Linked DNA regions of Macaca fascicularis. The protein of the gene in region 1 interacts with the protein of each later gene in a pairwise test. Links are inferred from orthologs where the notes say so. Each region holds a gene or a part of one and is shown in the gene's direction. Other genes may lie near its edges.

What was found. The genes of interacting proteins can lie anywhere in the genome.
Region 2: the proteins of APOA1 (region 1) and APOC1 interact in a two-hybrid assay, tested with the Homo sapiens proteins (2 studies listed by BioGRID, with this or other methods). The link is inferred for Macaca fascicularis from reciprocal best matches to the Homo sapiens genes APOA1 and APOC1.

Annotation. Positions count from the first base shown.
Region 1 is NC_088388.1:115,687,990-115,693,464, reverse strand, and holds APOA1 (apolipoprotein A-I), read left to right. Parts: upstream 1-2,577; 5' UTR 2,578-2,631; exon of another isoform or gene 2,632-2,718; intron 2,719-2,829; 5' UTR 2,830-2,849; coding exon 2,850-2,892; intron 2,893-3,064; coding exon 3,065-3,221; intron 3,222-3,810; coding exon 3,811-4,414; 3' UTR 4,415-4,471; downstream 4,472-5,475. UniProt on the Homo sapiens protein: Participates in the reverse transport of cholesterol from tissues to the liver for excretion by promoting cholesterol efflux from tissues and by acting as a cofactor for the lecithin cholesterol acyltransferase (LCAT).
Region 2 is NC_088393.1:52,945,760-52,951,626, forward strand, and holds the start of APOC1 (apolipoprotein C-I, basic form), read left to right. Parts: upstream 1-2,510; 5' UTR 2,511-2,536; intron 2,537-2,670; 5' UTR 2,671-2,690; coding exon 2,691-2,748; intron 2,749-3,521; coding exon 3,522-3,657; intron 3,658-5,867. UniProt on the Homo sapiens protein: Inhibitor of lipoprotein binding to the low density lipoprotein (LDL) receptor, LDL receptor-related protein, and very low density lipoprotein (VLDL) receptor.

The DNA of each region.
Region 1 (5,475 bases):
AAATCTGGCCTCCAGCCTTATAGGGATATTCTAAGTTGTGAAAGTGCTTTGGCCACTAAAGAACTGTGCAAATGTTAAATACTAGGTTTAGCCATAACAATCCTTTTAGTAACAAACCAAAGAGAAGGGTCAAACACTGGCAAGTATCTTGGAGTACAACCACAGGAGTTCCCCCATGTGCTGACTGGGGCAAACTCTACCCTCCAAAAGAAAAGATGCTCTCTTGGCCTGAGACACCTGTGAGCTGTCCCAGCAGGGGACCAGCCACCTTCCCACTTTCTAGAGCTACAGACAGCTGGGATGGCTAAGTAGGCAGTCCAGGCTGACGGCTCACCAAGGCCACCTCCCTGTCTACACAGTCCCACAGACATCTGGGGCCCCTTCAGTCCTGGGAAAGACCCATATCTCAGCAACTGCAAGTTAAGGTCAAGCAGAGAAATGTGGGATTGCTGCCTTCACGCCTGCTGCAGAAGCTGAGGTCTCAGGTCTGATACAGCAAGTGTACTGGGAATAAGGGAATACAATACCAGAAACTGGGATTCTAGAAAACACAATAGTTACTGTTTACTAAGTGCGAGGTACCTTTCTAACAGTTTTGCATATATGTTCAAATTTCATGCTTAAAACGATACAAATTTATTACCTTACAGTTAGGGAGGACAGAAGTCCAAAATGGGTCACACTGGGCTAAAATCATGGTGCCAGCAGAGCTGTGCTCCTTCTGGAGGCTACAGGGGAAAATCCTTTGCCTTCTCCAGCTTCTAGGGAAGGGCTGGCCATGCCCCTCAGCTCATGGCCCCCTTCCAGCAGTCACATGAGTCTGACCTCCGCTGCCATCCTCACATCTCCTTCTCTGACTCTGAGGCCCCGCCTCCCTCTTGTATAACTAAGGACCCCTGTGATGACAATGGGCCCACCTGGAGAATCCAGGCCAACCACCCCATCTCCAGGTCCTTAATCACACTGGCAAAATCTTTTTTTGCCATGGAAGGTAGCAAAGCCACAGGTTCCAGGGATGAGTATGTGGACATCTTTGGGGAGCGTTATTCTGCTTGCCACACAGTAACCCCTGCCGTAACTCTGGGCGATGGCATGTTCTATCATTATCTTCAATCAGAAACTGATGTGTGGGGAGGTGACGTATCATAACTCATCCAGGGTCACACAGCTAGTAAGTGGCAGAGCTGGGATTCAAATCTAAGGTTTTCTGGCTCCAGAATCTTCTCTGAAGTGAAAGGCATGAGGCCGACCACTCCCTGATCTGGTAAACAGAGATGTCAGGCTGGTTTGTGGTGTTAGGGAGTTTCCTGGGGTGATGGTACAGGGCACATGTCTGCCCTGCATCCTAAGTCCAGAGACTGGGTTCTAGGTCCAGCCTTGCGTCTAACTCCCTGAGAGATGAGAGCCTTTGGGCAAAGTCCCTCCGTGCTCTTCAGTCTGTTCATCTGTGAGATGGTGGCGTGGGAAGGGGCTGGAGTGATCTCACAGTTCTTCTCAGCCTGCATCACGGGCTCTAGGACTCAGGTCCTGTCAGTAACCTGCTGGGGGAGGTCTGGGCCTTCCAGGAGAAACCTGACAAGATGATGCTGCAAACACGAACGGACACACTGCACTTTACGTTCACAGGCTGTCTCAGGGGCCTCCAAAAACCCTGACCATTCTTGCCCCATTTTGCAGATAAAAAACTGAGGCTCAGAGAGATTACATAACTTGCCCACAATCTTCCTCCAGCAAGATGGAGGCCAAGTGAAATGAGAAAGGTGGTCTCCTGCCACTTCCTTACCCGAGGGTCTTCTCCCCACACCAGGGCTTCCCGAGGGCTGAGATCCAGTCTCACGTGTGCGTGATCAAATGTAAGTGTGAACAATGCGAAGGGAGACGTCTTCAATCTAAGGGGCTTCAATTCTGTAATGTAATTCTGAGATTATGCCCTTTTCTTTTCAAGTCTTTCCTTTTTGAAGTGATGGTCTTTACAATATCTTTACAAGACAGAATTAAAAGTTGGCAGCTCTGAATTACTCTCAAGAGTGTTTTGATGCAAGAGGTCTCCGAAACCTCAGTCTGGGAGCCACGGAGCGCTCTCCCCTCTCCCCAGGTTTACCAGTTTGGGAGGCTTGGAGAGAGGCCTGGAGGACCTGCTGGGGACTAAAGAAGCGCACTGGTGGGAGGACAGGATGGGGGGAAGGGGAAGGGGAGTGAAGTAGTCTCCCTGGAATGCAGGATGGTGGGGGAGGAGGTCTCCTGGGTGGAGGAGTCCCAGCGTCCCTCCACCCTCTCCTCTGCCAACACAATGGACAATGGCAACCGCCCACACACTCCCATGGAGGGGAAGGGATGAGTGCAGGGAACCCCGACCCCACCCCAGGGACCTGCAAGCCTGCAGACACTCCCCTCCCACCCCCACTGAACCCTTGACCCCTGCCCTGCAGCCCCCGCAGCTTGCTGTTTGCCCACTCTATTTGCCCAGCCCCAAGGACAGAGCTGATCCTTGAACTCTTAAGTTCCACATTGCCAGGACCCGTGAGCAGCAACAGGGCTGGGGCTGGGCTTATCTGCCTCCCAGCCCAGCCCCTGGCTGGAGACATAAATAGGCCCCGCAAGGGCTGGCTGCTTAGAGACTGCGAGAAGGAGGTGAGTCCTGCTCCCTGCTCCGGGTGACTCTGGCTCCCCAGCTCGAGGGTCAGGCCCTGCTCCAGGCCGGGCCTCCGGGTACCTGAGGTCTTCTCCCACTCTGCGCCCTTCTCCTCACCTTGCTGCAATGAATGGGGGAGCACGGGGCTTCCGCATGCTAGAGGCCCCCCACTCAACCAGCCCCTTCTTCTCCTCCAGGTCCCCCACGGCCCTTCAGGATGAAAGCTACGGTGCTGACCTTGGCCGTGCTCTTCCTGACGGGTAGGTGTCCCCCAGCCTAGGGAGCCAACCATCGGGGGGCTTTCTCCCCAAACCCCTGTGGCCCACCCTCCTGGGCAGAGGCAGCGCCCTCTCCCCCACCTCCAAGCTTGGCCTTTCGGCTCAGATCTCAGCCCACAGCTGGCCTGATCTGGGTCTCCCCTCCCACCCTCAGGGAGCCAGGCTCGGCATTTCTGGCAGCAAGATGAACCCCCACAGACCCCCTGGGATCGAGTGAAGGACCTGGTCACTGTGTACGTGGAAGCACTCAAAGACAGCGGCAAAGACTATGTGTCCCAGTTTGAAGGCTCCGCCTTGGGAAAACAGCTAAAGTAAGGACCCAGCCTGGGGTTGAGGGCAGGGGCAGGGGCCAGAGGCCTGTGGGAAGATGTTGAAGCCAGACTGGCCGAGTCCTCACCTACTATCTGATGAGCTGGGTCCCACAGATGGTCTGGATGGAGAAACCGGAATGGGATCCCTATGCAGGGTCACAGCCCATGCCCCCTTGCAAAGGACAGACGAGGGCTGCCCGACCTGTGATCACAGTGCCACATTGTGCCTGCAAGTGTAGCAGACCCCTTTCCCTTCTTCACCACCTCCTCTACCCCTGCCCAGCAAGAGTGTGGGCTGTCTTCGGAGAGGCGAATGTGCTGGAGGCATAGAAGCGAGGTCCTTCAAGGGCCCACTTTGGAGACCAACGTAACTGGGCACCAGTCCCAGCTCTGTCTCCTTCTTAGCTCCTCTCTGTGCCTCGGTCCAGCTGCACAAAGGGGCATGGCCTGGCGGGGCAGGGGTTTTGGTTGAGCGTGTACTGGAAACGCAAGGCCACTGCACCTCCGCGAACAGGTGTTGCCCAGGGCTCACCCCGGTAGGCTGGGGCGCTGGGAGGCCAGCCCTCAACCCTTCTGTCTCACGCCCCAGCCTAAAGCTCCTGGACAACTGGGACAGCGTGACCTCCACCGTCAGCAAGCTGCGAGAACAGCTCGGCCCGGTGACCCAGGAGTTCTGGGATAACCTGGAAAAGGAGACAGAGGGCCTGAGGCAGGAGATGAGCAAGGATCTGGAGGAGGTGAAGGCCAAGGTGCAGCCCTACCTGGACGACTTCCAGAAGAAGTGGCAGGAGGAGATGGAGCTCTACCGCCAGAAGGTGGAGCCGCTGCGCGCGGAGCTCCACGAGGGCACGCGCCAGAAGCTGCACGAGCTGCACGAGAAACTGAGCCCGCTGGGCGAGGAGGTGCGCGACCGCGCGCGCGCCCACGTGGACGCGCTGCGCACGCATTTGGCCCCCTACAGCGATGAGCTGCGCCAGCGCCTGGCCGCGCGCCTTGAGGCGCTCAAGGAGAACGGCGGCGCCCGCCTGGCCGAGTACCACGCCAAGGCCAGCGAGCATCTGAGCACGCTCAGCGAGAAGGCCAAGCCCGCGCTCGAGGACCTCCGCCAGGGCCTGCTGCCCGTGCTGGAGAGCTTCAAGGTCAGCTTCCTGAGCGCTCTCGAGGAGTACACTAAGAAGCTCAGCACCCAGTGAGGCGCCCGCCGCCGCCCCCCTTCCCGGTGCTCAGAATAAACGTTTCCGAAGTGGGAAGCCGCTTCTTTCTTTTGGGAGAATAGAGGGGGGTGCGGGGACATCGGGGGAGCCCGGATGGGGCCTTTGGCCCTGAAGCAGGGACTTCCAGCCGGAGTTCAACAACTCCGTGCCCAGACTGGGCGTCTTAGGGCCAAGATCGACGTTGGAGGACCTGCTGGACGCCTGGCTGCTTACGAGTGAGGGAGTAGAGTCTGCCTTACCAAGGCTCAAGTAGAAAGGAAGTCACAGTGGACCAGGCAAAGCCACAGACAATCCAAGGCCAGCTGCCCTGAAAGGGACTCAGACAAGGCCTGCAGCCCTGTCTGGGGCAGGACAGGAAACAGGGTTGCTTTAGTTGGGAGCAGTGGGTTCCCCGTCCCCAGAGGTGTTCCGTACAGAGCCTTCTCCAGCCCAGTCGCTGTCAGCGGGGCGGGGCGGGGCGGGACGGAGCGGGGCGGCCTCAGGGAGTCACTGGGATTGGGGTGTGGCCCCGGGTGCAAGTGAAGTGCTTGGAGTTTGAGCGCCTCCTCCTTTATGAATTCAAAAACTTCTCGAACACTTCCCTCTTCTTCTCACAAGGCCAGTATCCCCCTCCCACTACTCCCATCCCACCCAGAAACAGCCACCGCTTCCTCAGGCACGGCAGTGTAAGCCAGCCCTCCACCCGCTGCGGCTCCATGCCATGCCACCGGCTCCATGCCATGCCACCCCCTCTTTCCGCTAGCCCTGGCAGAAGCTGGCCTGAGTCAGAAAAATCACCACCACCTCTTGCAGGTACATTTTTATTTCCGAGATGCTCTCATATCTGTGATCTCACTGCATCCTTCCTTCCTCCCATCCTGGCTAGATTGCCATCAGAGGCACAGCATGGATGAGGATGCTGAAACCTGGAGATGTGACGTCGCTTGCCCAGTGAACAGCAGGATGGGCTAGGCAGTGCTTTTTAGACCCTGCACCCCTGGCCATCCATGATTATTAAAAAGAGTGTGTGGGTCAGGCACGGTGGCTCAAGCGTGTAATCC
Region 2 (5,867 bases), on another chromosome or scaffold:
CCTCAACCTCCTGAGTAGCTGGGGCTACAGGCACCCACCACCATACCTGGCTAATTTTTTCTTTTTTGAGGCGGAGTCTCACTCTGTCGCCCAGGCTGGAGTGCAGTGGCACCATCTCGACTGACCACAACCTCCAACACCCAGGTTCAAGAAATTCTCCTGCCTCAGCCTCCCAAGTAGCTGGAATTACAGGCGCACACCACCACACGAGGCTAATTTTTGTATTTTTAGTAGAGACGGGCTTTCACCATGTTGGTCGGGTTGATCTCCAACTCCTGACCTCAGGTGATCCACCCGCCTCGGCCTCCCAAAGCGCTGGAATTACAGGCGTGAGCCACCACGCCCAGCTATATTTTAACATTTTTTGTAGAGATGGGGTCTTACTATGTTGCCCAGGCTGGTCTCAAACTCCTGGGCTCAAGCAGATACTCCTGCCTCAGCTTTCCAAAGTGGTCGGATTACAGGTGTGAGCCACCACGACCAGCCGACCTATGAAGACGTCTAAGCAGACAGGGTGCCCTATCTCACTACATCCCCAGTCAGATCCAGAGGTGATGCAAGGATGGGAAGGAGGTTCCAGAACAAAGGCTGGCAGGGAGTCGTATGGGACAGGAGCTGATCCAGCAACAATCCAGAGAGATATCCTGGAGCCTGGGAAGGAGAAAGACAAAGAGCCCCTTTTTTTTTATTTTTTATGTTTTTGAGACAGAGTCTCACTCTGTCACCCAAGCTAGAGTGCAGTGGCACAATCTCGGCTCACTGGGACCTCCACCTCATGGTTCAAGCGACTCTCCTGCCTCAGCCTCCTGAGTAGCTGGGACCACAGGTGCACACCACCATCCCTGAATAACTTTTGAATTTTTGGTAGAGACGGAGTTTCACCATGCTGGCCAGGTGGGTCTCCAACTCCTGACCTCAAGTGTTCCGCCCACCTCGGCCTCCCAAAGTTCTGGGATTACAGGCATGAACCACTGCAACCAGCCAGTAGCCCCCATCTTTGCCCCTCGCTGAGCCCTACTGGATGTTCTTGGTTGGGCGACAGTTTCCCCATCTATAAAACAGAAACTCCTAGAGCAGAGGAGAGGATGAGGCTGGAAAACAGGAGCCCTGTTGTTCCATTCTTGTGGGGTCAGGGAAGCAGACATCTGGGTGGATGTTTGGGGAATGTTGGGCTCAGTTGGGGAAGTAGGGGGGCCTCTGGGGCTGACAGGGACTGGAAGCTCTGAACTGGCCAGAGGGATGTTGCAATCCTGCCAGGGTCTTGTCTATGCTGTCCCTTTCACAACCATCCCCCTACCGCCAGGCTGACACGTGGTTGTGGGGGCACAAGGCCAGCCAACCTAGAGTCTGAGGCTGGGCCGAGGACACCCTCCCCACCAGCTGCCAGGGTCACTGGCGGTCAAAGGCAGCTGGTGGGGAAGGAATTGGACTCCAGCCTTGGGGGACGGATGTGGTGATGGGGGGAAGCAGGCTTGGTGCCAGGAGGGGCCTTGGAGGGTGAATAAGAGCAGATGGAGTGTTGTGGGGAGGTAGTCAGGCAAAGGGGGTGAGTCCTGGTGGAAGGGAGGAAGGGGCATACACTCAGAACTTTTCAGCTGAGGGTTTTAACTTTTTGAGATAGGGTCTCACTCTGTCCCACCAGGCTGGAGTGCAGTGGCGCAATCATATCTCACTGCAGCCTCGAACTCCTGGGCTCAAGCAATCTTCCTACCTCAGCCTCTTGAGTAGCTGGGACTACAGGCATGCGCCACCACACCCGGCTAATTTTTGAATTTGTTTGTAGAGATGAGGTTTCCCTATATTGCCCAGGCTGGTCTCGAACTCCTGGGCTCAAGCGATCCTCCCTCAGCTTCCCAAAGCGCTGGAATTACAGGCATGAGCCACCACACCTGGCTAATGCAAGTGAGGTTTTTACAGTGTCGTCCAGCTAAGGTGACCCCCTCACAAAAAAAGGGACACTGAGAACCATCAACTTAAGAGCCCAGAGAGTATCAGGGTGGTCTGAGGTGCTTCAAGGGCTGGTCTGAAAGAAATTGGAGGTGGCACGCAGGGTAGGAGTGCGGGGCCAACTGAGACCCCAGCAACATAAAGGAAAAGTTGTTGGGGCTGAGGAGGCTTGCTAAGAGAGGGGAAGTGGGGGAAAGAGGTGGTCTAGGGACATGGTGTGAATGAGGGGCGGATGAGATCACAGGGTTATTACTAGAAGGCCCCTGAGGAAAGATGTCCACAGGGACAGGACGAGGCTGTCCTCTGAGTGGGGAAAGGGACTGTAGTAGTCTGAGGACCCCCCAGAGTCAGGAAGATTGGGAGATGAGAATGCTGAACCGTAAGGGGCTCTGGGGCTAAGGGAAGTGCCCGGGACCCCACCTGACCCCAACGCCCACGGGCCAGGGACAGAGGAGAAAAACGTGGGTGGACACAGGGAGGCAGGCTCAGGAGGAGGGAGATCAACATCAACCTGCCCCGCCCCCTCCCCAGCCTGATAAAGGTCCTGCGGGCCGGGACCTCCCACACCAGCCCTCCAGGAAGGATTCAGGTTGGTGCTGAGTGCTTGGGAGGGACACCAGCCTCCACTCTGCAAGAACTCAAAAAAGGGAGATGAGGGGATCGTGGGAAGGAGGGAGGGAGGACGGTGCCACTGATCTCCTGCACCCCTCCCTCTGCCTCCAGAGTGCCCCTCCGGCCCCGCCATGAGGCTCTTCCTGTCGCTCCCGGTCCTGGTGGTGGTTCTGTCGATGGTCTTGGAAGGTAAAAGTGGGATGGGAGAATGCGGAGTTGGACTTTTGGAAGAGTGAAGGTGGCTACAGGCCGGGGGTCCCGGCTTAGAGGACTTCTGAGAGCTCTGGGGCCCCTTCTGGGTCGTGGTTGCCCCATTGTGGTCGGGTGGGTCTCCAGGTTCGCCCAGGCTCAGTTCGGCAGGCGCCAAATCTGCCCAGGAGAGCCCTAGCAACCGATGACGTATTGACGCCCACACCTCTGGGATTGGCTGTCCTGTTTCTACAGCCTTGAAAGTGGGTAAGCGGGATGGGGGGCTCCGGGAGGGGTCGGTGCTGAGTAAGGCAACTCCCAGCGGCTTGAGCCCCACTAGGTCACTCCAGTATCCTCCCCATTCTAACCACATGATCCCCAAAGATCTCCTTATCCATCCCGGGATCCCATCCTAAGGGGGTTCCAATAACAAATTTTTGGCTGGGCAGGGTGGCTCATGCCTGTAACCCCAGCACTTTGGAAGGCCGAGGCGGGCAGATCACTTGAGGTCAGGAGTTCGAAACCAGCCTGGCCCACATGGTGAAACTCCGTCTCTACTAAAAATACAAAAAATTAGCCGGGTATGGATGCACGCACCTGTAATCCCAGCTACTTGGGAGGCTGAGGCAGGAGAACTGCTTGAACCCAGAAGGTGGTGGTTGCAGTGAGCCGAGATTATACCACTGCACTCCAGCTTGGGCTACAGAGCAAGACTCCGTCTCAAAAAAAAAAAAAAAAGAAAAATGTTGAACCCCTGCCCATATTCCTGGCAGGCCCAGCCCCAGCCCAGGGGGCCCCGGATGTCTCCAGCGCCTTGGATAAGCTGAAGGAGTTTGGAAACACCCTGGAGGACAAGGCTTGGGAAGTGATCAACCGCATCAAACAGAGTGAATTTCCTGCCAAGACACGGTTAGAACCCTTCCCAGGGCACAGGAGGGCTGGGTTGTGTTTTTGGGTGGAGCCCTGGAGGATGGTCCAAGATGAACAGATTGAAAAAAAAAACAAGTCCCAGAGAGGCTGACAACGTCCCTCTGGTCACACAACTAGATCTCAGGGTGCTTAGACTTCAGGGACAGTTTCCCTGACTCTCATCCAGGCCACATTTTAAAAGATGGTCTTGGGCTGGGCACCGTGGCTCATGCTTGTAATCCCAGCACTTTGGGAGGCCGAGGTGGGCGGATTGCCTGAGGTCAGGAGTTCGAGACCAGTCTGGCCAATATGGTGAAACCCTGTCTCTACTAAAAATACAAAAAAATTAGCCAGGCGTGGTGGCGTGCGACTGTAATCCCAGCTAGTCAGGAGGCTGAGTCAGGGGAATTGCTCGAACCAGAAAGGCGGGGGTTACAGTGAGCTGACATTGCGCCACTGAACTCGGGCCTGGGTGACAGAACGAGACTCTGTCTCAAAAAAAAAAGATGGTCTTGTCCAGGTACAGTGGTTCACACCTGTAATCCTAGCACTATGGGAGGCTGAGATGGGAGGATTGCTTGAGCCCAGAGGTTCGAGACCAGCCTGACCAATGTGGTAAGATCCTGTTTCTATTAGAAAAAAAAAAAGATGGTGTTGTGAGATAATGAAAATGAAGGATCCAAGCTTGGCCAGACCTGCGTCCCCAGGCTGGCGTAGCACCCCTTACTTCCTGTGTGATCTTGACAGAGGGTCATTACTGTCAGCCTCAGCTTCCTCTCCTATAAACTGGTGGTTCTGCGGGGAAGTAAAGGAGAGGGCCTACAGGGTGTCTGGTACATGTAGATGCTCAGTACATCATCAAACCCACCCTTGCTCCCTTTGGCAAGTTAGAGAGTCATTCATTCCTTAAAAAATATTTATTGAGCATCTGCTAAGTGTTGGAAACTGTTTCAGCGTGGGGAATAAACAGTGAAGAATGTGCAGAGCACAGTGACTCACACCTGTAATCCCAGCACTTTGGAAGGCTGAGGTGGGTGGATCACTTGAGGTCAGGAGTGCGAGAACCCCGTCTCTACTAGAAATACAAAAAAAATTAGCCGGGCATGGTGGCCCACGCCTGTAGTCCCAGCTACTTGGGAGGCTGAGGCAAGAGGAACCCTTGAGCCCAGGAGATTGAGGCTGCAGTGCGCCATGTTTGTGCCACTGCATTCCAGCCTGGGTAACAGAATGTGACCCTGTCTCAACAACAACAAAAAAAAAAAAAAGAAAGAAAGAAGGAAAGAAAAGAAAAGAAAAGAAAAAGGAAGGAATCAAAACATCGAGCCAGGCCTAAACTTAGAAAGATTGTTTGGAGGCCAGGCACAGTGCCTCACACCTGTAATCCCAGCACTTTGGGAGGCCAAGGCAAACGGATCACCTGAGGTCGGGAGTTCAAGACCAGCCTGACTATCATGGAGAAACCCCGTGTCTACTAAAAATACAAAATTAGCCAGGCGTGGTGGTGCATGCCTGTAGTCCTAGCTACTGGGGAGTCTGAGGCAGGAGAATCACTTGAACCCGGGAGGTGGAGGTTGCAGTGAGCTGAGATCGTGCCACTGCACTCCAGCCTGGGTGACAAGGCGAGACTCTGTCTCAAAAAAAAAAAAAAAAAAAAAAAAAAAAAACTCCTGGCACGGTGGCTCACGCCAGTAATCCCAGCACTATGGGAGGCCGAGCGGGCAGATCATGAGGTCAGGAGTTCAAGACTAGCCTGCTCAACATAATGAAACCCTCTCTGTACTAAAAATACAAAAATTAGCTGGGTGTGGTGCCAGGCACCTATAGTCCTAGCTACTCGGGAGTCTGAGGCAGGAGAATCGCTTGAACCTGGGAGGCAGAGGTTGCAGTGAGCCAAGACAGTGCCATTGCACTCTAGTCTGGGTGACAGAGCAAAACTATATCTCAAAAAAAAAAAGAAGGGGTTGGTAGCAAGAGATGACAGGCCTTGAAAGCCAGGTCAGGGTGAAACGTTTCTTATTTTTATTTTATTTTATTTTATTTTTTATTTTTTTTTTTTTTTGAGATGGAGTCTTGCTCTGTTGCCCAGGCTGGAGTGCAGTGGCGCGCTCTTGGCTCACTGTAAGCTCCGCCTCCCGGGTTCACGCCATTATCCTGCCTCAGCCTCCCAAGTAGCTGGGACTACGGGCGTCCGCCACCATGCCAGCTAATTT